2 linked regions of the Astyanax mexicanus genome follow. Each later gene encodes a partner of the first gene's protein in a complex. Links are inferred from orthologs where the notes say so. Each region holds a gene or a part of one and is shown in the gene's direction. Other genes may lie near its edges. The genes, in order: somatostatin receptor type 5 and sst7.

Region 1 (16,898 bases):
TAAGTCGTTGGTATTGCATCCCATGTGGTTGATGTTGTATATTGTGATGCTTTTACAGATTGTGATGGTGTCACTCAGTGATTGCTATGGTGCCATTCAGTGGTTGCTATGGTGTTGTTGCTAAGTGATTATTTTTTTTCCTGTGGTGTTCATAAGTCGTTGGTATAATATCCCATGTGGTTAATGTTGTGTATTGTGATGCTTAGAGATTGCTATGGTGTCACTGAGTGGTTGCTATGGTGTTGTTGCTAAGTGATTGTTATTTTTTTCTGTGATGTTCGTAAGTCGTTGATATGGTATCCCATGTAGTTGATGTTGTGTATTGTGATGCTTAGACATTGCTATGGTGTCACTCAGTGGTTGCCATGGTACTACAGGTGGTTGCTATGGTGTTGTTGCTAAGTGATTGTTATTTTTTTCTGTGATGTTCGTAAGTCATTGATATGGTATCCCATGTGGTTGATGTTGTGTATTGTGATGCTTAGAGATTGCTATGGTGTCACTCAGTGGTTGCTATGGTGTTGTTGCTAAGTGATTGTTTTTTTTTTCTGTGATGTTCGTAAGTCGTTGATTTAGAATACCAATTGGTTGCTGTTGTGTTGGGGTTGCTTGGTGGTTGCTCGGGTGTTGTCGTGTGGTTGCTATGGTGCTCCATATTGTACACAGTTGGGTATTGGGCGTATATTTGTATCATTAGCACAATTTTTTTGTGAGAAAGTTCCAAAGAAATGATGAGATAAATCAGAGAGTTGTTCACTCTGATCCTGTTCACACCGTCAGATCAAAGAATCTGGATCTGGAACGAAGAGGAAACTCTTACTGTCTAAACAAACAAATCAGAGGCAGTCCAGCGGTCCTGCTGTCTGTCTGGAGCTTCTCTAACAACTTCAGACTTACCCTGATGATTTCACACCCTACTGCTCTCACACACACATACACACACACACACTATCTGTGTGAAATACTGCGTGTGTCTTGCGTAATCTAGAAGCATGCTCTCATTCTTCTTCATACCTCTACTCTTCATCTCATTTCTGAAAGCTGCTCGTGCGTCACACACTCGGCGTTCACAGTGAGCGCGTGAGCAACTGTTCTGAACTAACTAACACCAGTAATAATAGTGATAATAATCCAGCACGTGTCACCTCTGCACTACTGAGTGAAACAGCTGAAGAAACTGTAGTGCTCTAGTGTAAAAAAATAGATTAAATTATACTAAGCATTTCTATACTATAGTGCACTAAAGTGTTCTTGTAGCCTCATTATTATTAATCAGTATATTTAAAGAGCGCTAAAATGGAACAACTTTTTAAAATACTTATTATACTTTAATTACAGTATAAAAATAGTACAACATTCTTACTTAAATTACTTAAAAAGTCTACTTAACTGTACTGAAATTGAACTATTTTAAATTTACTTAAGTAACATTTAAACATACATATATATTTATAATATATAATTATAATATAATTATATATTTTATAATATATTTAATAATGAGTAGCACAACTGTATCACTATTTATTATACACCAGATATATTAGAAATGCACTAAGAATTGATATATGTTAAATATATGTGATCTATATTTACATTTGAGTACAAATATACAACTATGCTTCTTGTTCCTGTCTTTTGTAAGAAGCACACTTCTAGTCTAGTTTACTTTATTGGGTATAAAAATATATTTTAATATAATGTACTACAAGTTTTAGTGTGTTACAATTTTACATTTTTTTAATTAGTAGTAGTAATTTAATTTACTTTCTAAAAAGTTACATGATACATTGTACTTTAAGTGAACTACTGTAACTGTAGTTGTTTTTAACACACTTTGCTAAAAGTGTACAAAAGTATATTTGTAAATATATATTTTAGAATTACATTGAATTACATTAAACTAAAAGTGCACTTCATAGTAGTCTATTTATTGAAAAGTAGACTATATTGTACTTTTTTAAAAATATGATCAAATTTTACTTTCAAAGCATAATATTAATGTACTTTTAATATATTTTAAGTAAGTACATAAATCTGTTAGTATATTTACATCATACATTTCTCAATATGTTTTAAGTACAATTAAGTATATATTTTGTTCACTAGGGTGCAGAGGCAAAGGCAACATAACTATTTTGCATTCTTTCATTCTACACTTTAGAATAGATGCTAAATAAATTTTTTAGATGCTAATTTAGTTTTTTTTTTTAAGATGATTAAATAAACTCTTTTTGCTGTTTTATGAAAGACCAATGAAATTACACTTATAAAGTGCCTTTCTTACAATCACATTTTACACACACAACCATTTACACTCAGCACAGAGCAGAGACAGCATACTCTCAACCGGAAACCACCGTCCACCTGGAGCACTGCATTAACTACACTGTAACAGAAGTTAGTTAATTTACCAATTTACCTGATCTCCATGTTTTTGGACTGTTTGATAAATTCGAGATATGCTGATACAGAGAGAACATGGAAACTCAGGACAGGGATTTGAACCCAAGACTGGTAGGCAAATGTGCTAACCACTAATCACTAATCCACCATACCGCCCAATGATGATGCTAATCCAACACTAGCGGGCAAATTTAGTTCAACAACCCAGCGTTTTGATGCTAACCCAACACTTTAGCTACAGCTAATTCAGTTAAAGCGTTTTTTACACTCTAATTTAACAGCATAATTAAATTAATTGACAGATTTAAATATTGTTCACTTATTGGCAATAAAAGTCCAATTCTGTAGATGCTAACCCAACACTTAACGCTTTTTAGCTGATTTAGCAAAATATATGGTGTATTTTTATTATAGTTTTCTCAACTAATTAAAAAAATAGATGCTAGTTTCGTAGTTGTAGCCATAACATTTAAAACGAGGCATTAACTAATAATGACGTAGACATATATATACATAGACTCCACATAGCCTGCCTCTTCCCAGCTGGCCACCAACATTAAAAGACATTAATTTCAGGTTGAGTTGTGGTCATGACTTGACAATGACAAATATTTTACAACAGGATAATGTCTAATAGTGTTACATGTCTGCAGGGTTGGCGCTGGCTGCTACGCTAGAAGGCAGGCTATGCAGAGTCTATCTATATATATGTCTATGTCTTCATCAGTAAAGCTTTAGCGTTTTGGGATGTAAACAGAGGTTTTTAATAACGTTCTTGTGCACTTTTTTTAAGTTATTAATGCCTCGATTTAAATGTAAGGCTAAATTTTTGGATCTCAGAAAGCTGCAGGAGAGCGGAGGTGAGCTATTCATCAAAGGAAAGTACTTTTTAATCATGTTTTACTAAACTAAAAGTCCATTTTACACCAAAAGTAGTTAAAGATCAGACAAATTGCATTTTACATACAAATATTATTAAAAATAAAAAAAGTTTGGATGCAACTCTAATCCTTAAAGCTAATCCAACAGCATGTTTCCTGTAACGAGCTTCATAAACCAGTGTTTTTTTGTTTCGTTTTTTGCTAATGCTTTATTTATTTATTTATTTATTTAATGAATGAATTAATGAGATTAGAAGCTGTGAGTGAGCGGTATTGATTGGTGCTGGTAATTTATGGGCTCCCGGGTTTATGATTGCAGGCAGTGTGTGATCATTAAGCCCTGTGTGAGGACCTTCATTCAACCTTGCTGGTCGTGCTGGTCGGGTTCATTCAGGTGTATTTATAATTAACCTCTGTAAGGTGCTCATTAACGTGGGTTTTGTGCAGTGTGTGTGTGTGTGTGTGTGTGTTTTGTGTTTTTTTTTTCTCCTGCTGCTGGTGTGTGTGTGAGTGTTTGTTTTGTGTTTTTTTTTTCTCCTGCTGCTGGTGTGTGTGTGAGTGTGTGTTTTGTGTTTTTTTTTCTCCTGCTGCTGCTGGTGTGTGTGTGTGTGTGTGTAGGGGGTGTATCTCAGTGCTGAGCTGCAGTAAGTTTGAGCAGCAGCAGCAGAAGGAGCAGTAGTGAGCAGCAGTAGTGAGCAGCAGCAGTAGTGACTGGGAGAATGCAGCTCTACAGGTCTGATCTCTGAACAGCCCGGAGCAGATCAGATCAGATCAGATCAGATCACACTGTCTGGATTACAGATCTCCGCCGCTCCGCTCGCGCTCAGAGATGCGCTCTGCCCGGGTCTCGCGCTCCGAGCTGCTGCCGCGCGCGCTCATAATGGGGAGACTCTCGTTCCTACAGTCTGCTATTGGTGTTTTTGGTGTTATTCTTTTAATCTGAGGAGATATTTTTAATTTTATTATTATTATAAATCCTGAGAACATCTGAGGATCACAAACCAGGCAAGTAGCAGCTCATCTCATACACACACACTTTACACACACTTCACACACACTTTACATACTAGTGCACTGTCACTAGTGCAGATATAAGAGCTTTAAATCTCTTTAAAACTTATTATATTCAATAATAATAACACACACACACACACACACACACACACACACACACACAGAGGCTGCATTATTATAATATAATAAGCTCTTACTGCTGTGTGTTGTTGCTCAGTGTAGCGTTTAGAAGTTTAATTTTCAGCAGAGTGAAGAAGAAATGGATTTTTATCCAAATTATTAATTATCTATTATTCATGTCAGCCAATGAAAATGTAAAAGGTCAGTGTAACTTTTTTCTATTTGATTTTCTGACCGTTTGGGGCTAAATGCAAAATTAGAAAATTGGATGTAAAAACGCATAATTTCATTTATTTTAATGTAGTTTAGTGTACAAGAAATGTTTTTATCCATTTTTCCAATTTTAGTTTTTTCCTCTCTGCCCCTTACAATCGGAATGTCAGGAAAAATGATTAATTAATCAATGAATGAATTAATCATTTTTTGCATTTTGCAAGCTTTGCCAGATTTCAGATTTGTTTATTTTTCTGTCTTTTAACACAAATCTAAAAAATCAAGAGAAGATTCAACTTTATTTTCTCTTGAAATTCTGTTTGCCAATAGCGGAAAAAAATAGATAATAAAAAAATTGGGGGGTCAGAGTAACATTTATTAATTTATTTTTCTAATTGTTTGAGGCTAAATGCAAAAATGGAAAAAAGGATGTAAAAACAGATTTTTTAAATGTAGTTTAGTTTACAAGAAAAAGTTTTTATCCATTTTTCAATTTTTATTTTTTTTCATCTCTGCCCCTCACAATCAGAAAAAAAATATTTATTTTTTTTCCAGATTTTTGAATTTTTGCATTTGTAAGTTGGATTACACCATCAGATGTGTGTTACAAGATACAAACATGGAAAAATCTGAAAATTGAGGCAAGAATCCATTTTTATATCTCGTGACACAAATCTGATGGTATGCAAAAATGGAAAATGGGAAGAAATCTTGAAATTCTGATTGCGAGGGGCAGAGATGAAAAAACTAAAATTGGAAAAAAGGATGAAAACTTATTTCTTGTACACTTTATGCTGCTTTACTCCTGGTGCAAAAATTCAAGCAGTTCAGTTTGGTTTGATGGCTTTGGATCATCCATCTTCCTCTTGATTATATTCCAGAGGTTTTTAATTTGGTAAAATCAAAGAAACCCATCATTTTTAGATGGTCTCTTATTTTTTGACCAGAGCTGTGTTTGTATGTGGCTTGGACATACCCTACATGTTTTGCAATACTTTTTGGATGGTCATCCATCATCCTGACCCCCCCACTAGTGCTGAGTGCAAGGATTAAACGAGTTACAGAGTGGTCTGGAGTTGCATTGATATATATATATATATATATATATATATATATATATATATGTACGACAAACAGCATAGGCATATTAGCTGGTCTTAAGTGTTTTGGCTTTGGGCTTTTGTTGGTGTATATATGTTTTTATGTACACACACTATATTGGTGCTATATAATGGACTGTTTGTGGACACTCATTCTAATGAATTCTAGCATCTGTAGTGACTCTTTTGAGCAGATAAACAAATATATATATATATATATATATTGGAACCATGTCTAATGTCAGGTGAGGGCTATGGACGAACATAAAGCCCCCCAGTATTGAGCTGTGGATCAGTGGAGGAACTGTGTTCTCTGTAATGATGATGGAGCTCCATACAATACTTTAGAATGGGATGAGTTTGGTTGAGGTGGGATCATCAGCATCCTGTAACATCCTGACCTAATCGACGATGATGCTCGTTAATAAATGCAATCAAGTCAAATGAAGTCAAGAGGCTTTTATTGTCATTATATCTGAGAACAGGAACACCGTGTATCGAAATTACGTTCCTCTGTAACCATGATGCAACATGGTTAAACAACAAGAAGATAGACAAACATAAAGTGCAAAAGTTTAAAACCATAAAATATAACACTGCAGTAAATACAATAAATTCAGAATACAAATCCTCACTGCAATGCTGCTTTAAAGTCTAGTAGAAAGTAGTCTTCTCTGGACAGTAGAGGCAGTTACTCCGACAAAAAAAGCAGGATAAACTTATTTTAATACCCTTGATATAAGCAGATGATCCAATACTTTTGTCAATGTTATTTAATGTTATTTAAAGGAACTACTTTAATTCAATTAAACCTTAAAAAGGGAGAACTCTGGTGTAAAATGGACTTTTGCTGTAGTAAAACATAGTAAAAAGTTCTTTCCTTTGATGAATAGCACACCTGAAATACAGTAATTTTGTGCTTATCCAGCTCAAAGTAGCTCCACACCTCCTTACTAGAATCTGGAGAGCCCTGACATTTAAAACGAGGCATTAACAACTAAAAAATTGCACAAGAAGCTTATTAAAACTCACTGTTTACATCCTATAACGCTACTAGCTTCAGCTCCGAGCGCCGCCATCACTGTACTGATAATGTCATAGACATATATATACATATATACATAGACTCTGCATAGCCTGCCTCCTGTCATAGCAGCTGGTGACCAGTGCTTTTTTTTTTTTTACAGTGAGGAAGGTGTTTAATACATAATATATTATAATAATCACAACTCTACAAATCTCAACTTATACCCGATTTTCATAATATAACATATAACAAAATACTACATCTTTGCTATGCGTAGTCTATGTGTATATATGTATATATATGTCTATGTCATTATCAGTACAGTGATGGCGGCGCTCGGAGCTGAAAGCTAGAGCGTTATGGGATGTAAACTGTGTTTTTTAATAAGCTTCTTGTGCACTTTTTAGTTATTAATGCCTCGTTTTAAAAGTCAGGTCTCTCTGGATTCTAGTAAGGAGGTGTGGAGCTACTTTGAGCTGGATAACGGTGGAAAAAGTGATTTATCAGGGTAAATTATGCTCCATATCACCCAGTCTGAAGGGTGTTTGTTGGACAAACTGTTAAAATTTCTGGATCTCTGAACACTGTGGGAGAACGGAGGTGTGCTATTCATCAAAGATAAGAACTTTTTATCATGATTTACTAAACTAAAAGTAAATTTAACACAGGAGTTCTCCTTTAAAGTTGTTTTTTATGACCAACGACCACACCTTAGTTATAGTTTTATATGCATCCCACTTTCTGGACACCACATGGGGTCTCTGAGATGAGTGCGCTAAAGACACACACACACACACACACACACACACACACACACACACACACACACACTCAGATCATCAGATATAGAGCATAGAGCGGCCAGAACAGAGCCACCTCCGCTGAATCACAACCCTGACTAACACTGCATTGAAATCAGGTACAATCTGTGCAGTGGGAGTTTTCTCATTCTCAACTCACAATCTCTCTCCTTCTCTCCCTCTCTCTGATTCCTTCTGTCGTACTCTCTCTCTCTCTCTCTCTTTCTATCTCTATCTTTCTCTCTTTTCACAGCATCCCAGCATCCAAACTCTGACAACAGCCCCGTGGGCGTCCGAGACCCACTGACGTGTCGCTTCTCTGCGCGATTTCGTCGCTCCCTCGTTCTTTCTTTTTTTTTCTTCTCCTCTCCATCTGCCTCTTCTGCCTCTCCTTTCTTCCCCTCCCTGGATCAGGAATGGAGCCAGGGGCTGTATCGGAATGGGAGGGGCCCCTCCTGGGGTCCTTGAACTCGTCAGGGATTCTGGAGGCGACGGCGTTTTCGAGGGCGCCGGCTCTCCTGGGAAACTCTTCCTATAACTCTTCGGACTACAGCATGCCGTTCCAGGGCAGCAGCACCATGCTGACGGCCATCATCTCGCTGACCGTTTTTATCGTGGGACTCGTCGGAAACACGCTGGCCATCTACGTGGTCCTGCGCTACGCCAAGATGAAGACGGTCACCAACATCTACATCCTGAACCTGGCCGTGGCCGACGAACTCTACATCCTGGGCCTTCCGTTCCTCACCACGCAGAACGTGCTCTCCTATTGGCCGTTCGGCTCCTTCCTGTGCCGCGTCCTCATGACGGCGGACTCTCTGAACCAGTTCACCAGCATCTTCTGCCTCACGGTCATGAGCATCGACCGCTACCTGGCCGTGGTGCACCCCATACGCTCCACCAGGTGGCGACGGCCGCGGGTGGCCAAAGTGGTGAGTGCCGCGGTGTGGGCCATCTCGTTCGTGGTCATTCTTCCCGTTGTCATCTTCTCCGACGTGCAGGACACGTTCTTCTCCTGCAACCTGAGCTGGCCGGAGCCGCGGGACGTCTGGTCCATGGCCTTCATCCTCTACACCGCCATCCTCGGCTTCTTCGCCCCCCTGCTGGTGATCTGCATGTGCTATCTGCTCATCATCGTCAAGGTGAGTCTCCAACCTCTTAACATCATGCCTGTTGAAAAAAATTTAAGTAAAATTGACTTTTTTTAAGTAAATTTAATTTCAGATACTTTAAAAAAGGATTGATTTAGGAAAAATAAAGTTTACTAAAAGAAAGGATTGACTGAAGTTCAGTTCACTTATTTACTTTATGTAACATTTTTAAAACCGAGTTGAAATTAAATCCAGTACTCCATCCAGTACTTCTAGGGATTAGAAAATCTAGTAGAAAGCCTTCTCTGGACAAAAGAGAAAGTTACTCCAGCAAAGAGTATGTTTTTTCCACTGATTTTGGAAAAGCCTCGCAGCCGCAGCAGAAATCACCTCACCACACCAGGGCTAACTAACTCTGCCCGAGTTGAGACTTTTCTACATATTTGTTTTTTTGTTTTGTTTTTTCACATAAAAAAATTCGAACAGAGCTTTTTTGGAGGTTCTTCATTGTGAAAAAGATGTTTTAAAGAATATGAAAGCTTTTTCATTGAGCGAAAGTAGTTATTATTTCAATGCAAAGAATGAGAAGTCCATTGAGGAACCTCCAGGATGAGTGCCTGTAAGCACTTTAGCGATACCTCAGTACAACATCAGGTTCTTTAAAGATCTCGAAATATGGCTCGTACAAGAAATGTAGGCTATTATATTTGGATTCAGGTACAGAAATCGTTATTCGCTCCTTCATAGATTCAGACTGAAAAAACTGTGTAAAAAGCTTTGAGTTCTTGGAGGAGCCTGTAGGTTATTGTGGTAACCTAGAGGTTCTACAAACTTTTAGCTTTTTTAAGTACAAGTTAAACAAATTGATGAATCGATTGATTCATTCATTTTTTGATTGATTGAAGGTGAAGTCAGCAGGTGCTCGTGCCGGATTCACTAAGCGGCGGCGGTCGGAGAGGAAGGTGACGCGTATGGTGGTGGTGATCGTGGTGGTGTTCGTTCTCTGCTGGCTGCCGTTCTACATCATCAACATCGTCAACGTCATCGTCATCCTGCCGGAGAACAGCCTGATGGTGGGCATCTACTTCACCGTCGTCATCCTGTCCTACGCCAACAGCTGCGCCAACCCCGTCCTCTACGGCTTCCTGTGCGACAACTTCAAGCAGAGCTTCAGGAAGGTCCTGTGTTTCCGCAAGACCAACGGCGTGGAGGACGGAGACCCCAGCGTCCCGCGGACCGAGAAAATCACCACCCACGACTCCTTCCTGCCCCCGAGAAACCACGAGTTTAACGGACACGTGCAGAGCAGCCAGGTAACACAGCATCCACAGACCGCAGGATGATTTATAATGTGTGTATGGGTGCATATATACATATATATATGTGTGTGTGTGTGTATATATATGTGTGTGTGTGTATAGTGTACAGTTATACGTGTGTAATGTTATACATGAACATGCAGCACACATCAGGGCCAGAATGAAATTAACTGATTTTATTCTATTGCATAAATTAGCATCCGATTTAATATCATTTTTATTGTTGCAAAACTTTTACACAAAAATTCTATTTGCCCATAAACATTAATGGACATAACAATTGTGTACTATTCTTATGTGCCAATATAATGAAAAGAGTACAACTTGGCAACCTGAACAACCACCTGAGATACCACAGCAACTGCCAATTAATCCATAGAATCCCCCGTCAACACCATTCTAGCAGCAGCATCATAATCACCTGGTATACTATTGCAGCCATGGAGCAACACCACAGCAACCACTTGTTGAACTCTACTAAACTGTACCCATCTAGCAACACCGCAGCAACCACCTGACAAAGCAAAGTAAGCATTTAGTGTAGTAACCACTTAGCAACACCACAGCAACCACCTTGGATATCAAAGTAAGCATTTAGTGTAGTAACCACCTAGCAACCACCTGGCATACCAAAGTAAGCATTTAGTGTAGTAACCACTGAGCAACACCACAGCAACCACCTCACATGCCAAAGTAAGCATTTAGTGTAGGAACCACCTAGCAAAACCACAGCAAACACTTGGCATATGAAAGTAAGCATTTAGTGTAGTAACCCACCTGGCAACACCTCAGCATCCACCTGTTGTACTTTACTATACTGTACTATGTAGACCATTGAAACCTTCTGGTACACCACAGAGACCATCTAGCAAACACTAAGCAACACCTGCCTGATGTACTGTACTATACTGTACCTACGTAGCAGCACCACAGCAACCACCTGATGTACTGAACTGATGTACTGTACTGTACTATACCTATCTAGCAGCCACCTAGCAACACCACAGCAACCAACTGATCTACTGAACTGATGTACTGTATTATACCTATCTAGCAGCCACCTATCAACACCACAGCAACCACCTGATGGACTGTACTACACTGTACCTAGGTAGTAGCACCACAGCAACCACCTGATGTACTGAACTGATGTTCTGTACTGTACTATACCTATGTAGCAGCCACCAAACAACACCACAACAACCACCTGATGTACTGAACTATACTACACCCATCTAGCAATTGAGCAACACCATTGTGAGCACAAGGTATATCATATTAACTACCTAACAGCACCATAACATCCACTTAGCAACATCATAACAACCACTTAGCAACATCATAGCAACCACATAGCAGTCATTTTAGCATTTTAGTACTTTTGGGATTAGTCATGGAGTCATCCATCAGTATTGACCTCATTCACACTCGTGTGGCCGAATGCAATCATATCCTCACAGCAACGCAAATCTAGAAATCCAGTAGAAACAACCTATACTATGCTAACCGGAGTAAACAATACTAGAGACAATACTTGTTTGTTATATAGTGTAGATAGATTGCTGCAGGTCATCTGCTATATAATATTTATGTTCCATCTGGACTCGTTTAAAACCATGTTGTAAAACCAGATGTCCCAGCAGTGACCAAACGCCTGAGGGGTTTTCTATGTGCATGATGTTTGTTGGTGTGTGTTGAAGTGTGTGTGTTGTTATGTGTGTGTGTGTGTTGTTGTGTGTGTTAGGGGTGTGTGTACATGTCCTCATAATCCGCTACATGCCCTTATTTAGAGTGGAGTGTTTTATCTGATGCAGCTCTACATGGTAAAGGTCATGCTAACGCAGACAGTTTGGTTTGACGCGTCGAGCAGTCGGGCATAAATTTCCTGGCAGTTTGAGTGGCTCCATGCTGGCTCTATGGAGGGGGGGGGGGCGGTGGATAGAGTGGGGGAGGGTCAGTTAAACACACACCAGTTATAACCTTAGCATTCATTACAAAGTCCAGGAAAACAGCACTCACTCTATATGAGTTTTAATGCAAATATATATTTTAACTAATGTGTTTAAAGAGTTAATTATCAATATTTTTATATGCAACTCAAAATCAGAAAAAGCTGGGCAAGTTTGAAAAATCATAGTGTTTCTTACATTGACTTTAAAGTGTCAGTCCGTATAATTGTGTTTCTAAACTGAAAACAGAAGAATTTCTGAGTGCATAAAGGTTAAAATATTGTGTTCGATGGTACCAACTAGGCAACCTAAGCAACCACCTGAGATACCACAGCAACTGTCAATTAATCCATAGAATCACCTGGCAATGCCAAAGCAACCACCTGGCATACCAAAGTAAGCATTTAATGTAGCAACCACCTAGCAACGCCACAACAACTACCTGGCATATCAAAGTAAGGATTTAGTGTAGCAACCACCTAGCAACACCATTGTAGTATAGTAACCACCAAGCAATGCCAAAGCAACCACCTGGTATACCAAAGTAAGAATTTAGTATAGTAACCACCTAGCAACGCCGCAACAACCCCGGATACCAAAGTTAAACCCAGTTAAACACATACCAGTTATAATCTTAGCATTCATGACAAAGTCCAGGAAAACAGGAAGTAACAGTCACTCTATATGCGTCTTAATGCAAATATCACATTTTAATCACCCTGTTTAAAGAGTCAATTGTCTACATTTTTATATGCAACTCTAAATCAGAAAAAGTTGGAAAAGTTTGGAAAATCGCATTGATTACATTGACTTTAAAGTGGCAGTCTGTATTATTTAGTTTCTAAACTGAAAGCAGAAGCATTTCTGAGTGGAGAAGAATATAGATAAAATATTTTGTTTAATGGAACCAGTGTGCTGAAACCACCATCCTGCTAAACCTAATATCTAATATATTCATTCTAAAAACTGGGGTCGCGTCTTTACGTAGTAGCTCATTGAATCATAGTAAAACCAAAGACCAAAGAAACGAAGGAGTGAAGATTCTGAATTTTATTTGTTAAAGCTCACCTTCCGCGAAAATCCGATTTTTCTTGTTTTTTGTGGAATACAGTAGGTCTCTCTGAGTTGAATGTGTACACCTGCACATTAAACTGTTTTGCAGCCCCCATTGTCTGCAGGAGCTAAGCAAAGAAATCCCCCCTCCCCCCCTCCGAAAAACGGGTGAATTTTGAATTATCTTTCTGCCTACGTAGGCAGAAACTCACAGACCAGCCCACCTTGGCCCGAGAAACTCCCAGAGGCGGAGCTGAAGCGACGCAACATCACCGCTCATCAGTTAGGAGGTGGGAGGCAGTGAGCGGCAGAGCGGTGGAGGGGCGTCGCAGTGCTCCTAGCCAATCAGAGGAGAGATATTTGCATGCTGTTTGCATGTATGAATATTCATGAGCAAAGCTGGAATCCGGTCATTTTGGACACACCCCTAAAACAGTCCATTAAAAAAGAGCTATACAGAGACACCTGAGCATTTTTTTTTTTACAAAAACGGCTCACATGTCATTCATTCATACTAGAGACCACAACTAGACATTTTAAAATGAAAGAAAAAACGACGGAAGGTGACCTTTAAAGCTGATATCCGTAAGTTTTGAGATTTAGGGCCCTCTCTGTTGAGAATGGGTAATTGCACCGAACATGCGAAAGAAGAATCATTTTAAACTGGGCGGGTGTGATGCGGTCTCCTTTTAGAGCAGAAGAATCTGAATCCAGGTTATGTTCAGTCAGAAACTTCATTCCTTCATTTCTTTGGTTTTTCTGTGAGTGAATGCAGGAGCTACTGAGCTCTGAGTTTCCTCTTCTGAAGTCTCCATTGCTCCACCAGCCGCTCGCGTTATAGACTATATACATGAGTACTTCAGGACGCGTGACGTGGCCAGAAAAATGATCCGACACCCCAGTTTTTTTTTTTTACAATGAATACATTAGGCTTAGCGGGAACATTGTTTTTTTTTAATGTTTCAATCATTCTTGTGCATGAAACGAAAAGCCTTGAAGAGAATTCTCAAGGCTCAAGGTCATCATCAGATGGTCAGGCGGTTTCTAAACAGGTTGTTTTCCCAGCTTGTGGGTTTATGAAGCATGTGTAAGAAGCAGGAAGTGAATGGCGTGTTTTGAAACGAGTTCCCACAGGCTGTTAAGTTTGTGTTTTTGGTAAAAGCCAGCTTTTTAACGTTTCCATAGAGTTGTAGACTTTCACCCCTTTTAGTCCTTTTAGAGAGGAATTGCCAAATCCGTTCGTACGATTGGCTTTTTGAACACAGGTCAGAGAAGATGGAGAAACTGGGGGTTTATAATCATCAGCAGGTGCGAAATTAGCCGGAAGCGACAGCAGTCACTCAGGCTTTGCTGCTCACTGTGGTAAAAGACTCTGGCATGTGTCCCTCAGGACCACCGCCAGAGAAAAACAGGCAAATTAATGCACTGAATTAACTTCACATTGGGATGGACGCTCGGTACACGCTCCACCAGCTCCAGAACGCTCAGGAACGCTGAGGAACGCTGCACTGAAAGCCTCTTTCCTTCTTTCAGTATCATTTTCTACACATGTTGCAGCTTTTCACTTGAAAAAAGAGGTTCTTCAAAGTTTTTTTACTGAACCAACTAAAGCAAATTGTTTCGCTAACATTTGCTAACTAGCTTCGCCTACCTGCTGTCTTGATAAGATACAGGTAAAATAGTAAAAATAAGTGACGTCTGGCCTCTTTGTGGGGTAATTTTTGTACAGAAAACATGTACTCATGCCAGGCTGTCATGGAGTGACTCAGAATGACTGTGGATCATCTTCAATGAAGAGTCCTGCTTTTGTCCTGGTGTAGAGACGACCAGCAAAAACATGTATGAAGTCACAGTGATCAGCTGTGAATTGATATATGACCATTTTTTATAATCATAATACTGTTATAAGTGATTAACATTATAATTCACATGTCTAGCTCGTAGAGTGAGCCATTGGTGTGGTGTTTGACATTGAATGAGCTACTGAGCTCTGAGTTTCCTCTTCTGAAGTCTCCATTGCTCCATCAGCCGCTCGCGTTCAGTAAAACTGAGCCGGATCCTCTTTTATAGAATATATAAAAGATCATTTTAGCCATTTGCTAAAAAGAATCAAAGCCCACCCTATAGTGGCTTAGAACATAAACGTTATATAACCCAAATCCTCCCAGTCTGTTAGCAGAATAAGACATTATCCAAAAGCCGTTTTTATTGCAGTATATTGTTATTGGTGCGATTCATTGCTCTCATCACTGAACTCGCGTGTAAAGTCAGTGTTCTGGCGAATTCAGCACCCCCGCCAGGAAAAGCTCCCTCTCTCGGCAGTAAGTACTCACAACCTTTAATTAGAAACATGTTCCCGGAGTGCCGAGTGGTCCAGTGGTCTAAAGCGCTGCCACTATGAGTGGGAGGTCGCAGGTTCAAACCCCCACTCATGCAGCTTTGCCATCAAGCTGCCGGCGCTCAGAGGGAGCAAACTTGGCCCTGCTCCCCCCGGGTGGGTAGATGGCGCTCTCTCCCCACATCACTCTTAGGGTGATGTCTGCAGCACAGGGCGTCTGTGAGCTGATGTATCAGAACCGAGTTGCTGCGCTTTCCTCCGAGCATGCTGTGATGCTACATCAGCATCAGCTCGAAAAGAGGCGGAGTCTGACTTCACATGTATTGGAGGAAGCATGTGCTATTCTTCACTCTCCTGGTGTGTTGGGGGAGTCCTAATGGGTAATTGGGTAATTGGCCGTGTAAATTGGGGAGAAAATGGAAAAGAAAAAACAAAATAAAAACATGTTCCTGAGAGAAGGTGCTTTTCATGGCGGGGGTGCAGATTTCTGCGCGCTTTCAAAATAAAAGTTTATTTTAAAACTTTAAAATTTCTGCTTTTTCTGTTGTATCATTTTTGGGGGGGACAAATCCATCTATTTCTGATATAGGTTGGGACACGTCCCCCCCCCAGTTCCTACACCAACGCATCATGGGATAGGAAGGTTTAATAGCGTTTTATGGATCAGCTGTATGAGTTTCACATCAGTAATGATAGTGATTGGTCTGTAGATGCAGTTCTGCTGTTTGTTCTAGAATTCTCCAGTTTTCCCCAGAGTTGAGGTTCTGTGTAGAGCGGGGAGGAATGTGTTTTAGGAATTCTGTAGAGCTCTGGGAACGCCGTTCCTCCCCACAGCCTGTTCCCCTCACCAGCACTTATAGACTGAGGGGTTCGAGCGGGGGACCCCGGGGGTCAGAGCTGGGGGCCACCGGGGGCCCCGAGTTTACAGGAGCCCCTCAACAAATGAGGCGCAGCACTGAGATCCTAACTAGAACCGTGTGTGTGTGTGTGTGTGTGTGTGTGTGTGGAATGGTGTGATGGTGAGTTTTTTCAGGGTGAATAAAATCACGGCCGCGAGCCCCGAGCTCTTCATCTGAAAAACAAATCACACACACACACACACACACACACACACACACACACACACACACACACACACACACTCAGGACTGTGTGTGTCATTCCATCTGCCACACACACTCAGTCTCTTCTCTTTTTTCCTCAGAGTTTTCCCTTTTCTTTTCTACTTTCTTCTCTCTTTATCTCTTTTCTTCTCATTTGATCTCTTTTCTTTTCTTCTCCCTTTATCTCCTTTCTTCTCACTTTACCTCTTTCCTTTATCTCTTTTATTTCTTTTTCCTTTATCTCTTTTATTCTCCCTGATCTCTTTTCTTTTCTTCTCTCTTTATCTCTTTTCTTCTCCCTTTATCTCTTTTATTCTCCCTTTTATCTCATTTTTTTCTCTTTATCTATTTTCTTTTTTCTCACTTTATCTCTTCACCCTTTATCTCCTTTCTTTATCTATTTTCATTACTTTCTTTTTCTAATCCATTTTTTTTATCTGTTTCATTATCTTATTTCATTTGATATCTTTTCTCTCTTCTCCCC
Region 2 (16,704 bases), on another chromosome or scaffold:
GCCCACATCACTCTAGAAGGTGATGTTGATCAGCACAAGGCTGCATCTGTGAGCTGATGTATCAGAACCGAGTCGCTGTGCTTTCCTCCGAGTGCACTGTGATTCTACTCTGCAATGCTGCATCAGCAGCAACTCGAAAAGAGGTGGTGGTTGACTTAATATGTATTGGAGAAGGCATGTGCTTGTCTTCACCTTCCTGTTGTTTGGGCATCACTAGTGATTGGGGGAGTCCTAATGAGTGTGTTGGGTTATTGGCTGTCTAAAATGGGGAAAATACCTAAAAAAACGTTCTTAAATTTGTTCTTCAAAATCAAACTGTTCAAATCCCTAGTTTGAAAACATTAGTGGATGTAGATCTGGGCAATAGGATGCCCTTTTTATCGTATCTTGATTAATTTTGTTATTGTCCTGTTTGATTAGCTTTGATTAGCTCTGAGTATATTGCGAGATATTATCAGTGAGTTTAAAACCTGTATAATGATACTGTATCTGCAAGTAATTATGAATTCTGGTTTAAAACATCATGAGAAATACTGTGTATATTGAACATTTCTTTATGGAATAATTTTACCCTATTGCCCACACCCAGGCGGATGACATTTTTTATATATAATATTTGAGAAGAGTGTGTTTATTAAGCAGGTGATGGTGAATAAGGCCTTAAGTTTGTAGTAGACATGAATATGATCTTAAAGAACATTTTTTTTATTTAAAGGTCTAAAGAAACTACACTTAATTTAAAGGTACCTTATCCATTTTGTCTGTTTTTTAAACACACACACTCATCTCTTATACAAACATGACTCTTTACAGAGCCAAAATTGACTATTCTGTGGCATCAACTTAAGAACCATTTAAAGCCCCTTTGTTTCTAAGAGTGTATGTATAAGGAAGTTGCTCTGTTTTGTTGATTTGATTATTATTATTATTTTCTCATTTTTAGTTATAAGTTCTGACCGCCACATGAGGCTGACATGCATAGAGGTTTTAGAAGGTATTTTGTATGAAACACTTTATTAAGTGAATTAAGTGCTGTATGGTTTGTTATTTAACGGGTTTTTAAACTGTTTCCATCACAAATTCATTTTGTTCGCAGTCTGCTGGGTTTAGATCTTGATTTCCTGTAGAATGTCATGTGGTGTGTCTTTCCCGTGGCCTGCAGCTTAAGCAGAATAAGTGTGAGAAATCACTTCTGTGATCAGAGTGATTGTGAATGGTTTTAAACGCTACACTCAGTCAAATGAAGGCGCTCCTCCAGGTGAATTCACTGTTTACTGTATTTTAAACTGTTTTATGCTCTCTATTATAGAAGGCATGTCCTCAGCCCGTTCTCTTGTACCAGTCATGTAACCCAGTGTGTTGCCAGAAGAGTGGACATCCCTATTCTTTCAGCATCGAGTGTTTAATAAATCATGTTAAATTCACAAAATCCATGTGTTCCTTTAAAATAATAAAATATATAACAAATATCTCCCCTCTTTCTCTTTAATTATAGAAACAAAAACACTTCATTTTAACCCTTTGACATTATCATTAAAAAAACTGTAATATTTTAGTTTTTTTATTTTATTTCTTTGTTTAGGGCAATAATGAAAAGAATTCATGTATTTTTTCTTTTATGACCCAGTCTTTAAATATATACGACTATATGAATAAATATAATAAATAATGCAAAGAAAACGTTCATATTGATAAAGATTTAAAAGTACAGAAATCAATATTTGGTGAAATAACCCTGTTTTTTTTTTTATCACAGATTTCAAGCACCTTAGCATGTTCTCCTCCACCAGTCTTACACACTGCTTTTGGTTAACTTTATGCCACTCCTGGTGCAAAATTCAAGCAGTTCAGCTTGGTTTGATGACTTGTGATCATCCATCTTCCTCTTGATTATATTCCAGAGGTTTTTAATTTGGTAAAATCAAAGAAACACGTGATTTTTAAGTGGTCTCTTATTTTTTTTATCCAGAACTGTATATATGATTGCTGTGTAATTGGCAGCACTTTGGTTCATGTGTTTTCTAGATGTGTCAGGTATATTACTGTATTTTTGTTTATTTAGTTTAATATGCCATTAAAAAACATCAAATACTGATAGCATGTTCTAAATTGATGTTCTACTTATCACCAATTGGAGAATATGTATTTAATGAGTCTATTTCTATCACTAATTCATTTTCTATTCATATTTTTCTAAAATGTTCAATCTGTTTATAACATAGAATAGTATACGTTATTGCCTAAAAAAGTCAATGCTGTTAGTATGTAACTGTTAACACTTTTTATTCATTTTGTTTCTTAGGTTGTTAGTAGCAACAGTAACCACAAGATGGCACCAGGAGCATTGCAAATATGTTTACTGATATTACTTTGAAGATCAGTGCAGTTGTGAGGAACCTAACATCCTGTACATGTAATGCACAATAATGACCTATTACCTAGAGGAGATTTAAATTCAGTATCAGATATCTGTAAGATGAAGTAAAATCATAGAAAAGCCTGGAAATTCAGAGACTCGTTTATCTCTCAGAAACACCTGGAAAATTAAAACATTGATAAAAATGTCACAGAAATATTTGTGTTAAGTTCCAATAAAAGGTGAGGGGTTCAGCCTCTGGTGCTTTATGTATTATTAAGGATGTTTAATCTTAAAAATAAAGCCCTAACAAATAGTTTTTTAGAATAATAGGCTATGCCAAAAAAGAACCACCACTTTTTGGTTCCATCAAAGTAAAATTGGGAAAATTTCACCTTAAAATAGCAGCTTCAGAATCGTGCACATGCTCCACTGAATTAAAACAGACACTGCAGTGTCACTGTCATCGCTTATTTAAACTCGGCATGTAGCTAAATGCACAGAGGAATTAGAGATGAAATTCTCTATACTGTATGAATTTTAAATATAGACTGACAGACTACAGAGTGAATGGTACTATTTTAAAACTTTAAAATGTACATATTGTTTCTCCTCTCTTTTCATTTAATCCCTTCCTTTCTCATTTCTTTTTGTCTTTCCACTTGTATTCTCTTGTCTTTTATTAGTGTTTCTTTCTATATCTCTTCTTTTATTTTCAGTAGTTTTCTTTTAACTTATAACTTTCTCTTCTTCTATCTTTTCTTTTCTCTGTTTTCTTATTTTTTTATTGTTGTCTCTTTTCTTAACATCTCTTCCTTTCTCTTCCCTTCTTCCCTATCTTCTCCACATTTTCTTTTATTCTAATTTCTTATTTTCTTTTATTTAGAGCTATTTTCTTTTTTATTAGCTTATTGTATCTTCTTTTTTATCTCTTGTTCTTTGTATTTTCTTAATTTCTCACCTGCAAAGTTTCAGATTAATAATTTTTATCTTATTTTCTCTTCTCTTTTCTTAATTTCAATTTCCCCCTCTTCTTTTCTCTTCAGTTCCATTTTTATGTTTTCATGTTCTCTTATCTATTTTAGATGTGAATTAATGTGCCTCAGTCATCATTGTAAGTATATATTTCTTGTCTTTATGTTGGAAGGATACTTCACATATCTTGTTGCCATTTGAAGTTTTTTTAAAGCTTTTGCTAATTAGTCTAATGAACAATCATGCCAGTAAACATATGGTACTAACTCTGCTCTTAAATGTTCTGTGTGTCTCATAGAGCTGTGCATTAAAGATGTTCTGTAGCTGAGAAGGTAAATATGAGGCAATATGACTCAGTCCAGAAAGTCCAACACAGACTGTAGAACTTACTAGAGTGGGCAGAACTGATGCCGCTGGTGTTTTTTCCGTGTTGGTGCTGCTTACTATATATATATATATTTGTTTAGCGGTGGTCAATTGGCATGAATTCTTCAAACGCAGTGTATCAAGATTGCGCTCAGGGGCCAGATCATCTCAGCCCTGCATTAATCTCAGCAGAGCCAGGGGGCCCGAATCCTGGCCGTGTCAGACTGCTGTGAAAAACGAATAAAAACCTCTAATATCAGCTCTCAGGTCCCTGAACTCGGCCCGGGCGTGTACGTGCATCTCCAAAGAGGTGTCCATCAACTAACACGTGTGCAGCCAGGAGGATGACCTGAATTACAGTGTTATGTCATCTGGAGATCACTGGAGAGCACACACACACACACACACACACACATCAAATGTTTCAGTTTACTTTATTACTGTATATTAAAGCAACAAATTGCTGTATTTATTTTTTCATACACTATGTTCTTGGGACAGACTATGAAAACAGCTGCATCCTGTATATTTAACTGTACCTTTTGAGGAATAAACAGGTGGTTAGATTGAAGAAGTTTCCCAAGACATTACTGCTGTGTTGTGAGACTAAACACCAGGCAAAAACAAATCAAATTTACCATATACAGAAACGTCCTAAACTTTACCTTATTATAGACTGTAAAAAAAATACCATACAGCTCTGGAAAAAATAAGAGAGCACTTCAGTTTCTGAATCAGTTTCTCTGATTTTGCTATTTATAGGTTTATGTTTGAGTAAAATGAACATTGTTGTTTTATTCTATAAACAACAGACAAAAAAAGTAACATTTCGTATCAAAGTCAAGTCAAAGTCAAAGTGGTTTTTATTGTCATTTCAGCTATATACAGAGTACACAGTGAAACGAAACAACGTTCCTCCAAGGACCATGGTGCACATAAACACAGTGTAGACAGAACAATAGTGCAACAGTACAAAAGTGCAGACAGACAATACAACACAATACAGACAAAGAATAATAAATAACAAGACAGTGTGCAAATTATGCAGTGTGCAAAAAGTGTGCAAAAAAGACCAGTGAGGTAGTAATTACCTCTATTACACAGTGTGCAATAGAGTCCAGTGAGGTAGTAGGGTTTTTAGTGCTGTAATAGGGTTTTTATTGCTGTATTATGTAATTCAAAAGTTAATTTCCTATTGGCTCCTGAAATCCTTTAGTTGCATTATGGGTGTGTCCCCCAACTTTAACTCACCATCACTGTGTACTCTTGCCTACCAGGGCTACTTTCTCATTGGCATCAATTTATATTTTATATAATAGTTGATTGCCTGGCAGAAGGGTTGTAGGCCATAAGTGCAAGCTACCATTTTCTTTACTACAAAGAGTGACTTCATGCTGGTTGATAACCAACCTATTTTTTACTTTCACATTTCCAAAAAAAAGGCCCTGAAATTATATATGGGTATTGTAAAGAATAATTAAAGTTTTATAATGTATTTATTTATGCCAAAGCTGTAATACTTTGTAATTTTCAATACATTACTATTCTTATTATATAGTAATATGCTGAAATCTTACAATCTTTATTGTCAACTTTTTGTGCTGTAAAATGTAATAACTATATACCAACTAACTTGCTGTAAAAAATAAAAAGGTTAATAAAGGTATCATTTTACATTGCACTTTAAGAAAATGTCACTTTTAGTGTAACACCTTAGCCCATGTCTGTCTTCTGTTTCTCCCTTATTTGGTCTCTTGTGCTCCTGTCCCTCTGTTTTCCTGTCAAGTGTCTCCACCCTAGCTCTGCCCCAGCCCCGCCCTAGCTATTAGTTTTCTCACCTGTGTCTTGTCTATAACCCCGCCCCCTTGTCATCCTAGCCCAGGTGTTTCTCACTCTCCTCTTGTATTTAAGCCCCTCTGTTTGAATGTTCAGTGTCGAGTCTTTTGTATCCTCTGTATCCTTGCTGTCCGTATGTATCCTAGTCTTAGTTTATTAGTCTGTGTTTCTTAGTCTTTGTTTTAGTTTTATATTCTCCTTGCCTTGTTTTTTTGTAGTTGTTTGCGTTACCCGTGTTTTGTTTACTGTTTTATTTTATCTTGTTTGTTTAAATAAAATATTCGCACTTACGTCCACCCCTGCTCATTCGTAACATTTAGATGTTTAGATTCATATAATTTCTTTTAAAAAACCAATCTTAAGAATTTTGTCAAACCAGTGAGAGATTCTGTCAACAACAATTTGTACTTTTATTAAGTTTTCTTAGGTTCTAAACTGTCTCACTCCTTAACCCCCCTTTTTTCCCTATACACTCCTAACCTTTTGCCCCTCACCCTTATCTCTCACATCTCTCCTTTGTTTAACATATGTTGATAGAGACACCCCCAATGATGACACCCCCCACATACTCCTCCATAAACCCTTACCCTTTCTCCCCCTGCTGTGTTCAAAGCAGTTTCTCCTGTATGTAAAGTCCTGCTAAAATGTCTTAGTAGCTCAGTCTAGTTGAGTCTCACTCAGTTCAGTCAAGCTCAGTCTAGCTGAGTCTCGGTCAGAGAGTCTCACACAGACAGTAACAGACAGACAAGTCACATGGACTAGTCAGGCGGACACAGAGGGAGCAACGACCAACTAAGCTGTGCCCGTGTAGATTTTCTGTCTGCACGAGAATAAACTCAAGTCATCTCTCAAGCTGTCTCCTGATTCCTGATTCTGACTCCTGATTCCTGAAAGCCGAATTTCTAACACCAGGTTTCTAGGACTATGACTTCCATTTAAATAATAAGCCTACAGTTTAGCTTAATTTAATTAATATTTATTCTAAAGTTTTCTAAAGTATTCTAAAGTATAATAATGCACAGTAAATGTCTACACCTGACCCTGATGCTGCAGCAGCATTAATATTGTTATTTTTCTATTTTTATTGTTTATTCAGGGAGCACTGAAATCAATTTATTATCTTGAATATTTGTTCATAATCTTAGGATTATAGTAATTGTATAGTATATTATTGTAAAGTATAGTATAGTAATTGTTTCAAATGTTAAAGACAATAAAATCTTTCTCTCTAAAGTGAGTTGGTTTCTGCAGGAGGACACGTGCAGTGTCAGCGTCTATCATCTCATCAAAACCATAAAAAAACTTCCCCTGGTCATTTTAGGTGTCAGACAGTTCGATCTATCTGTGAGCCCGACTGTGAGATTAGAATCGTATGAGGAGGGATGAAGAGTGTGGAAATGAGAAGTGTGTGCAGGATGGTGTGAGCACACGCTGTGCTGTAAAACACAAGTGAGAGTAGAGTTTTAGTAGCATCCAGTAAATATTGGAATAGTGTATTAGCTGTTATCAGAGACTACAAATAATACTTATTATCAGTTATTACAATATGGGTTCTTTGAGTAATATCCTATTTAAATCTGCTTGTCTGGCTATGATCAATACAACACACACAATCTATATATTAATATATGTATATAAATACAGCTCTGGAAAAAAAAAAGTAACCACTTAAAAATGATGAGTTTCTCTGATTTTACCAAATTAAAAACATCTGGAATATAATCAAGAGGAAGATGAATGATCACAAGCCATCAAACCAAACTGAACTGCTTGAATTTTTGCACCAGGAGTTATCCAAAAGCAGTGTGTAAGACTGGTGCATGTAATTGTATTAAAAATAGAATTCAAAACTTTATGAATATGAACTTGTTTTCTTTGCATTATTTGAGAAAGTCTGAAAGCTCTACATCTTTTTTGTTATTTCAGCAATTTTTCATTTTCTGCAAATAAATGCTCTAAATGACAATATTTTTATTTGGGATTTGGGAGAAATGTTGTCTGTAGTTTTTAGAATAAAACAACAATGTTCATTTTACTCAAATATAAACCTATAAATAGCAAAATCAGAAAAACTGATTCAGAAACTGAAGTGGTTTCTTAATATTTTCCAGACAACTTCTGGAATCTAAAGAACACTGCACTGTGGGATGTTCAGTATGTATGTGAGTCCTCCTGTATTAAATGTGGATGTGAATGTGGATTTCTTCTAGTTTCTAACAATTCTAACCAGACTCCGCCGGTCACAATCATTTCCACCCACTGCACTGCACACTGTGAGTGGTATTTATTGCCTTCTGTGACGTATTCCTTGTACACATGTGACACTATGGATCGAGGCCTCACTCCAGCTCTGATCATTCACATCACCTTGCCATGAGCACACTGGCCCGTGTTTAACTTCACTCACAAGACCATACCACACAACTGAGTTAACCCCTGAGGTAACACTTCTTTATCAATTTACATACTAATATCCCATCATTTAAGGCATGTGTGTGTATGAAAAAAGGTGTAATTAGCTAATACAATACATTATGAAATGAACGGAGTAGTAACTTCAATTATAACTTGTGATTCTCCAAAATTGTAATTTTCCACTTTCAGTGGAAGTAAAACATCTCTATTGAGAATTTCTTTTGATCAACTTATTCAGATTATTTTAGAGTCAAATTATGTTTAAAGAAAAAGGACATACTGAATCTTCACTGAATCTGACAGAATCTGTTTTATTAATTACGCCAAAAGCATAGAAGTGCTTTTTTTAAACATTCCATGTTCCATTGGAGATGCAAACATTTATATTGCAGTGTGGTTACTGGTTAATTAATTTCATTATTTAATTCTTTATTTATTTATTTATTTATCTATATTAATCATGTACTATTTATATAGTTTGTTGCATAACTTCTGAAAAGTAATTTTGAATATGTATTCAATTAGTATCTATTTTTCAATCATTTTCCATTTTTTGCACATAATTTGAAAGCATAAACTGCCCTTTTAAGGCTTATGACTTGTTATTAATTTGATTTAACATTGACTTCCGTTGAAAGTTGAGTATCTTCTTCCTTTTCCTGTAAAGTTACCCGTTTAGAGACCCAGGGTGTTTTGACCGTGACGGATGTTTCCTACGCAGAACTGAATTGAGTTAAATTGAGTTAAATGAGACATTTCCAGATTTAAACGTGCATTTAAGACATTATTAATAAATTTAAGTATCAGAATATCTGGTATTTTTTGTCGGCACATATTCTACTTTGGAATTTTTTTTGCTGTGACTGATGTCAGGACCATTTTTAGCCGTTTGACGTGAGCATGGAGGCGCGTGCTCCTCAGCTCCAGTGAAATGGCTGGTTTGTTAGGAGGTTAACTACTCTGTGCTTTTGTTAGTCCTTAAGCCTCCTACTCCCCCCTGCCCCCCACCCCACCTCACTCCCTCCCTCTCACCCAACCCTCCATCATCCACCAACCCCTGCGTCAAGCCGAGACCGCCAGCCCAGGGTATATAAGAGGCGGCCACCTCAATCCCAAAGCCCAAGACACTTGAGCTGAGACCAGCAGCAGCAGCAGCATCATCAGCAGCATCAGCAGCAGCAGCAGCAGCAGCAGCTTCAGCACCTCCTAAACTCCCACTCTGCACACACTCTCACACCGGCTCTACGGGTCTGCTGCTCCGTCACGCTCAGCTTTCTCTGGCTTTACTTCTCTTTCTTTCTCTTTCTCTCTTCTTTCTCATCCTCTGCTCTTCACTGGTGTAGTCAGGATGCAGATTTTGGCCAGCTTAGTGTCTCTGCTGCTGGTGCTGTACAGTGTGAGGGCAGCGGCCGTGCTTCCAGTGGAGGAGAGGAGCCCAGCGCACACCAGGGTGAGTCCAGAGCCCACTTCACCTACTGCCCTCCTTTCAGCACTGGACAGTGGACTGGTGCACTTAACTTACTTTGTGTGTGTGCATTATTTCTCAGAAAAAATCTGTGAAATATATCATTTCAATGCTTTTTACCTATTTTGTGTTGGTATATTTCATGTATGTTTGTAATTATGCCCATTTTTTTCAGTTTACGTACTGCTATCCCATGACTTCTGGCATGTTAGTGTATGAAAAAAAATTATTAGACATTTTGTCTAAAATTGATTTATTTTTAATCCATAAATTTTGGCAATATTTTTATTTATCTTTTAATAGGATTTTTATTTATTTTAAAATTATTATACACACTCTTCAAAAAAGATTTAGAGCCACAGTGTCAGAATTACTCTAAATAATGACTTAATCTATTTGAAATTCAGTCACTAATTGATTAAACTGGCATTAATGAGTTAACTTTAGTGCATTATTTCAAACTATAACTATGCAGTTAAATGTTAAGGTGTTAAAAGGGGTTCTTTTATAGACTAAAGATAGATTTTAGTTTAAAGAACATCATTTACATCCTCCACAATAGAAGTATCCAGGTTTCTTCTATGAACCCTAGATGTATTCCTTAGTTTTTATTCCTAAAACATAAACTATTTTGAATTATTATTTTTTTTTAACATATAACCTTTTTTGCTTATCGTACACCGTGGAGTCCCCCAGGGCTCTATTTTGAGGCTAATTTTAATTATGAATTAATTATGAATAATGTCTTTCTAGGAACAGTTTGAGCTCTGTTTGAGAGTGTAACCGCCTTTGCTCTCCTCAGGAGCTGAGTAAAGAACGTAAGGAGCTGATCCTGAAGCTCGTGTCCGGTCTCCTGGATGGAGTGGACAACAGCGTGCTGGGCGGGGATCTGGTCCCCATGGAGGCAGAGGAGCCCCTGGAGTCACGACTGGAGGAGAGAGCCGTCTACAACCGGTTATCACAGCTGCCCCAGAGAGACCGCAAAGCCCCCTGTAAAAACTTCTTCTGGAAAACCTTCACCTCCTGCTAACAGTGCCAGCCTGCCAGCCTCCGACCGGGTTCCTCCATCCGAACGCCCACCTCTCCACCTCCCACCTTCTTCTTCTTCTTCTTCTTCTCCACCAAACCCCCCGAAACTATGAACTGTGTGCACTTTCACTGTAGTTACCATCACCAACACCGCCGTCGAGAGAAAGGGTCGCCGTGGACTTGTGGACTGATGCAGCCAGTTTGTTAAAGATACTGATGATTATATTTATCTATTTATTGACAGAATGATTTAATATGTATTTATTTATTTGTTTAATTATTTTCTTGTTTCTCGTTTCTGAACATCTCAGACCAATAAAGCATGGTGAAGCAATTTGCTTTTTGATAAGGGATGTCTCATTCTCTGTGGTCAACCCTCGGGACAGAAAAGAAAAAAGCAGTCAACTGTTTTATCCCAATGGAGAAATAAACGTATAACCGATCAAAGACTCTGTTCTGCTGTTTTTCTTCATGTTGAGAGATTGATGAGAGGTCTATTTTGTATTAATTTTATATTTTATATAATAAGCCTTTTTTTACGACAAGCTCACCTATATACCTTTTTAAAATATATATACTTTTTGTTTTATGTATTTTTTACAGATTTATTTCTGCCTTTAAAATAATGACATATAAGCCTATTGTTTTATAGTTTACTAATGGACAAAATTTGGCAACTTTCTAGAATCCAGGGATGATTTACACTTAACACTCTATACAATCCTTTACACTAAACGACAAGAAGTAGCAGCCAGTTCCACACAATGTACTTTCAATCAGATATCTGTATGACTGTATTGAAATCTGATTCACCAAGACAGAGTGCCAATCCTCAAAGACATACATGAATTCACAGACATATATATATATATACAAATTCAAACATGCATACAAACACTCAATGTAAGCATTACAAACAAGCAAACAATTTACTTATATACTTTATACTATATAAAAGTAAAATCTCACACACACACACACACACACACACATATATATATATATATATATATATATATATATATATATATATATATATATATATATATATATATATATATTCAGGAATAACATGGAAACATCACTCATATAGGGACTTGAACCAAAGACCTCAGTGCTGAGAAGAGAACAAGCTATCCACAAAGTCAACATTCTCCCCAAACAAATGCATATTATTAATAAAAGTAATAATAATACTATTAATAAAATTGCAATGTTTTAATATATATTTTAAATTTATTATTTTTTATAGTAATATAATGACATTTTATATATTCGTATCCTAAATTCTGCAATTGCAAAATACACATATACAATTTTACTATATGCATTTTAGACCCCGTGTGGAAGACCCCCTGTGGATTGCATTAGATTGCATACAAGGGACTGGTTGTGTCCTTTCTTGTTCACACCTGTTCAGCAGATGCGCTCAGAGCTGCTGAGACGGCAGTGTCTCTCAATGGCATGATCTAAATATGCACTCTCCATTGTGGAATAACAGCATTTTCACACCTGCAGCTTTTATTCAATCAGTGAATCCAGGCTTCAGTCATTCACAAGCTTTGTTCAGCAACACCGGGGTGATAACCGTGTTCTGAGCGCTGAGTGCTGAAACTTGCCATCATTGAGAATTTAAACACTGTAATCTGCTGCTATTGCTGAACATGTTCAGTGCTTTATATAAGAAGCAGCAGCTGAGAGGAGAACACAGAACACATTTCCTACACTGTACAGCTGAATAACAGGCGGTGGATGCAGTGGATTCACTCAGTTCTCAGAGTAAACATGTTAAGCAGCAGCAGGTCTGTAATGTCCGGACCCTCTAACTCACACGGTTCACACTCTTACGTCTTTCCTTACGCAACGGCGTGAAATATAATAGGTGTAGCGAGGAGCTGAGCCGAGGCATGACATTCCTCCATACAGCCCAAATCACCGAGAGCCTTCAGACAAATGACTCATCAGTGTGAATTCTAATGCTGTCAGGAATGCCTGTTTTCTCCTGGATGTACTGAAAGCAGCCCTGTAATCATGTGTTCAGAAGAAATCTGGCAGTATTGTGTCTTTAATGATCAATAACTCAGCTTACACTCTAAACGCTAAAGATTCGTAAAAGGGTCTGTTCCAGAAAACACATCAACGGGTCCTTCCAATAAAAGGTTCTCTAAATGATCATGCAGAGTAGATTTGAGTGAAAGCATGACAATTACATTTAATAATTAAATAATATGAAGATTCAACTATGTACAAACTTTGAAGCAAACATACAAGCCAAAAAATAACAGTAATCGATAAAATTGTAAAAGTACAATTCTTACAAGGTTTTAAATTCAAACATCAAATTACATTGTCAAGAATGTAATTAACAGTGTTTTTTTCATTTGTGCCATATGACGTTAAGAAAAAAGGTCTGTAAAGCAGAGCTGTAAAACAAGCCTTTTCCAAATGCTCTGTGATTTTACATAGCATTACTATTGTTATGCTAATATATCATGGTCAAATACAATTAATAACTGTAAGAAAATAAAGGAAATTATTTTTTTACATTCATATTTAAACATTATATAAAAGTAAAGCTTCTTTGTGGATAGTTATTTTAAACGTTTCTTTATAGCACAGACAAGGATTTCACTACAGACCAAAATCCCTAAAATCTTATATAATTGAATAGCTTAAAACTGGAAGAACCAGTTGGTTTTATTAGTTGTTGGTTAATAATATTTTACCTTGGCCAAAAGGATATTCTTACAATGTTTTTAAAGCTTTTCCAAATAAATTGTACAGTATTTTATGTGCCATATGACCTCAAGAAAAAAGTCTTTAAAGCAGAGCTGTAAAACGAGCCAATTCCAAAACCCCAAAACTGTTACATCACAGTCTAGACTTATAGACTTGTTATAGTTAAATGCCAAGCTACAGTAGCTGACTGGGTGAGAACTCCTCAAATAACTGCTCAGAGAATGGCCCCCTAATGAAAGCCCACTTGTGGCTAAATACAATCAAATCCTCACAGCAATACTCCAAAATCTGGATGAATTACTGACTAAATAGACTCCAAATAGACTTTTTAAATAAATGATGTATCCATATACTCTGCCATTTTACATAGCATTACTACTGTCAAATACAGTTAATAACTGCAAAAAAAAAATAGAATTTTTATTTAAATAATTATATTTTAACAGTATATAAAAGTTTTTTTTTGTGTATTGTTTTTTTTTAAACTTTTCCTTATAGCTCAGATTTCAATACAGGCCAAAAAGCCCTAAAGAATAGTATAATATAAATAAAATAAAACTGGAACCTGTCGTGTTTTATTAGTTGTTGGCCAATTATATGACAGGTTGAGTAAGTAATATTCTTTCTGAGCTTTTTTTGGAGTGATGACATAAACACTCCTCTGAAAGGAAATTGATCCTGTGTTTGTCAGAGTAAAGAATTCTTCTGATATCTTCATTTGTGATTCATCTGTCATCAATCACATCATAATTACATTGCTGATAGACTCATTCTCAAAAAAAATGATGTACTCAAAAGGAATAATCTAACAGGAATGAAAATGATTCAGTAGCCATGCCAGACTATCACAGAGTGACTCAGAATGGAAATGAATGCTCTTCAGTGATGAGTCCTGCCTTTGTTTAGGTAAAGACGACCAAAAATCGATGTTTGGAGGCACCATGGTCTGCACTAAGATCAAAGGTTTGCTGTCACATCAAGCATTCAAAAGTCTTGCTGTCATGATTTGAGGATTGGTCTTCATTACAAGCACTTTAACAAGCCAACATTCGGTTCATGAGGTTCTGCAACCAGTGACCCTACCTTCTCTTACCTGTTTCAACAGGACAATGCTCATCCGCACACTGGTGCTATCTCAGGAGTTTGCCTTAAAGACATGGATACTATGTCACTATGTCAGCTGAGTCCCCAGAACTATCCCTGGTTGAAAATGTGTGGGATGCTGTTTGAAGCACTACAAACAAATCTTCTTTTTTTTCCACATTTTCTCCCTAATTTACACGGCCAATGACCCTCACTTTTTGCACGCCGAGTAGCATCACAGTGCACTCGGAGGAAAGCACAGCGACTCGATTTCAATACATTAGCCCACAGACGCCTTGTGCCGAGTGACATCACCCTTTTAGAGTGATGTGGGCAGAGAGTGCCATCTATCCACTCAGGGAGAGCAAGACCAAGTGTGCTCTCTCAGGGCTCCGGCTGCTGATGACAGGCTACATGAACAGGATTCGAACCGGCAGTCTCCTGATCATAGCGGCAGCACTTAGACCGTTGGACCACTCGGATCCCCCAACAACAATCCTCTTCTAATGCAAAGTCTGCACAGGATGTGCTGTCACAGAACACCATTAGGAACCTCTACAACACCATGTGGAATGTCTGGCATATTGCAGCTTTACACACGTGTCACACACTACTTCTGTATCTGTAGTTTATTAAATGTGACCAAGAGTTTCCTATATAAATTGTTAATCATTTATTGTTCCTGTAAAACTTTATCTTTCTTCTGAATAGTATTGCAAAAAGACTCAACTTTGTAAGCTTCAGTGTGTGGAGACAACGCCTAGAGAATTAATGACCACAAACCAGCTGCTCACCTGAAGCTAATAAAGCGTCCAGTCTGCTGCTCACTCTCTACCTCACAGCATCGCCCAGACACACTCAGATTTCTCTCTGGATTCCAGAAAGTGCAGCGTTTGATCCTTTTTCTCTGGCACTCACCTTTTTATTACACAGTCATTAACCTTCAATGACTGACATTAAATTACTGAAGCTTTCAGATTACTATTATTGACAAAAAATTGCATAGTAAAATAATAACAGTATAATATTAAATCTAATTATGTCCAAGTGTATTAAAACAGATGTAATAGGGAGTTAACAAACATATTTAGTTGTGCACAAACACACACACACACACACACACAGCTGGGAATAATCTACATACAAAGCTTTACCAAAAGAACAACACACTCTGCAGCAGCCACATACATGGACAAAAATATTGGGACACCTACCTGCTCAATCATTGGTTCTGCTGAAATTAAAGGTATTAAAAAAGTGCCTCCACTGTCTCCAAGGAGAATTGCTGTGAGGATTTGATTACACAGTCCCACTGCTCCATGTGTTTAGTTCACAAATATCAGGACATACACTAAATAAACCTAAGATCACCCTGCACCTTAAATTGGGAGTTGGAATGGAGTTTGTGATCCAGAACTAATAATCCAACGTCAGAACCTGACCTCTCACAAAATCAATCAATCAACGGAATCAAATCAAATGGTCAAGTGTGTGCATTCAAAATAACTTGTCTATGTAAGTTGACATTCCTCAAATTCACAGTTAAGAGTAATTGATTAAAATTGGTATATATATATATATATATATATATATATATATATATATATATATATATATATATATATATATATATAGTTGACCACAAGAACCAGGAGTAAAGGCATAAAGTTATCCAAAAGCAGTGTGTAAGACTGGTGGAGGAGAACATGCCAAGATGCATGAAAACTGTGATTAAAAACCAGGGTTATTCCACCAATTATTGATTAGTGAACTATTATTTGAGGTCTAAAAGTTCTGCATCCTTTTTGTTGTTTTAGCTATTTCTCATTTTCTGCAATTAAATGCTCTAAATGCCAATATTTTTATTTGGAATTTGGGAGAAATGTTGTCAGTTTATAGAATAAAACAACAGTGTTTATTTTACTCAAACATAAACCTATAAATAGCAAAATCAGAGATTCAGAAACTGAAGTGATCTCCTAATTTATACATATATATATATATATATATATATATATATATATATATATATATATATATATATATAGGAGACCACTTCAGGGATGACCTCCCTGGTATCATATAATGTTTTGAGTATCCAGGATCCTGTTTGTATAAAAAATAATAAATGAGGTGTGAATTTGTTGTAACTGTGACTCTAATTAAGGCAGGTAAGCTGGCTGGGATGAAACGATGTGTGACGTGGGAATTTGTTCTCTCATCTGGAGAGTCTGCACAGATTAATCTTGTTAATCTCCTATTGTTAGATGGTTTTAGATTTAAATTGGCAACTTTAAAATTGGGCCTTTGTCGTCACAAGGATGTGACCGTCCAGTCCAGCCTGCTCTGTGGAGGCTGTGGGGATGAGCAGCAGCCAAAAGAAGCAATGCATTAAAGAAGATTAATCCTAATCAAGGGACAGTCATTAAAAGCATGACTA

The links.
Region 2: the proteins of somatostatin receptor type 5 (region 1) and sst7 are in contact, whole or in part, in a cryo-EM structure (PDB 8X8L), measured with the Homo sapiens proteins. The link is inferred for Astyanax mexicanus from reciprocal best matches to the Homo sapiens genes SSTR5 and CORT. Residues at the interface, in NP_001044.1 of Homo sapiens: Tyr89, Leu96, Gln99, Asn100, Ser103, Asp119, Gln123, Glu182, Thr185, Cys186, Asn187, Ala188, Trp190, Gly198, Phe201, Ile202, Thr205, Phe264, Phe265, Asn268, Asn271, Glu279, Ala283, Tyr286, Phe287, Val290, Tyr294; in NP_001293.3 of Homo sapiens: Cys93, Arg94, Phe96, Phe97, Trp98, Lys99, Thr100, Phe101, Ser102, Ser103.

Annotation. Positions count from the first base shown.
Region 1 is NC_064428.1:35,180,440-35,197,337, forward strand, and holds the start of somatostatin receptor type 5, read left to right. Parts: upstream 1-7,817; 5' UTR 7,818-7,977; coding exon 7,978-8,703; intron 8,704-9,557; coding exon 9,558-9,965; intron 9,966-16,898.
Region 2 is NC_064420.1:41,467,016-41,483,719, reverse strand, and holds sst7 (cortistatin), read left to right. Parts: upstream 1-9,068; 5' UTR 9,069-9,296; coding exon 9,297-9,398; intron 9,399-10,215; coding exon 10,216-10,443; 3' UTR 10,444-10,889; downstream 10,890-16,704. UniProt on the Homo sapiens protein: Binds to all human somatostatin receptor (SSTR) subtypes. It also inhibits cAMP production induced by forskolin through SSTRs.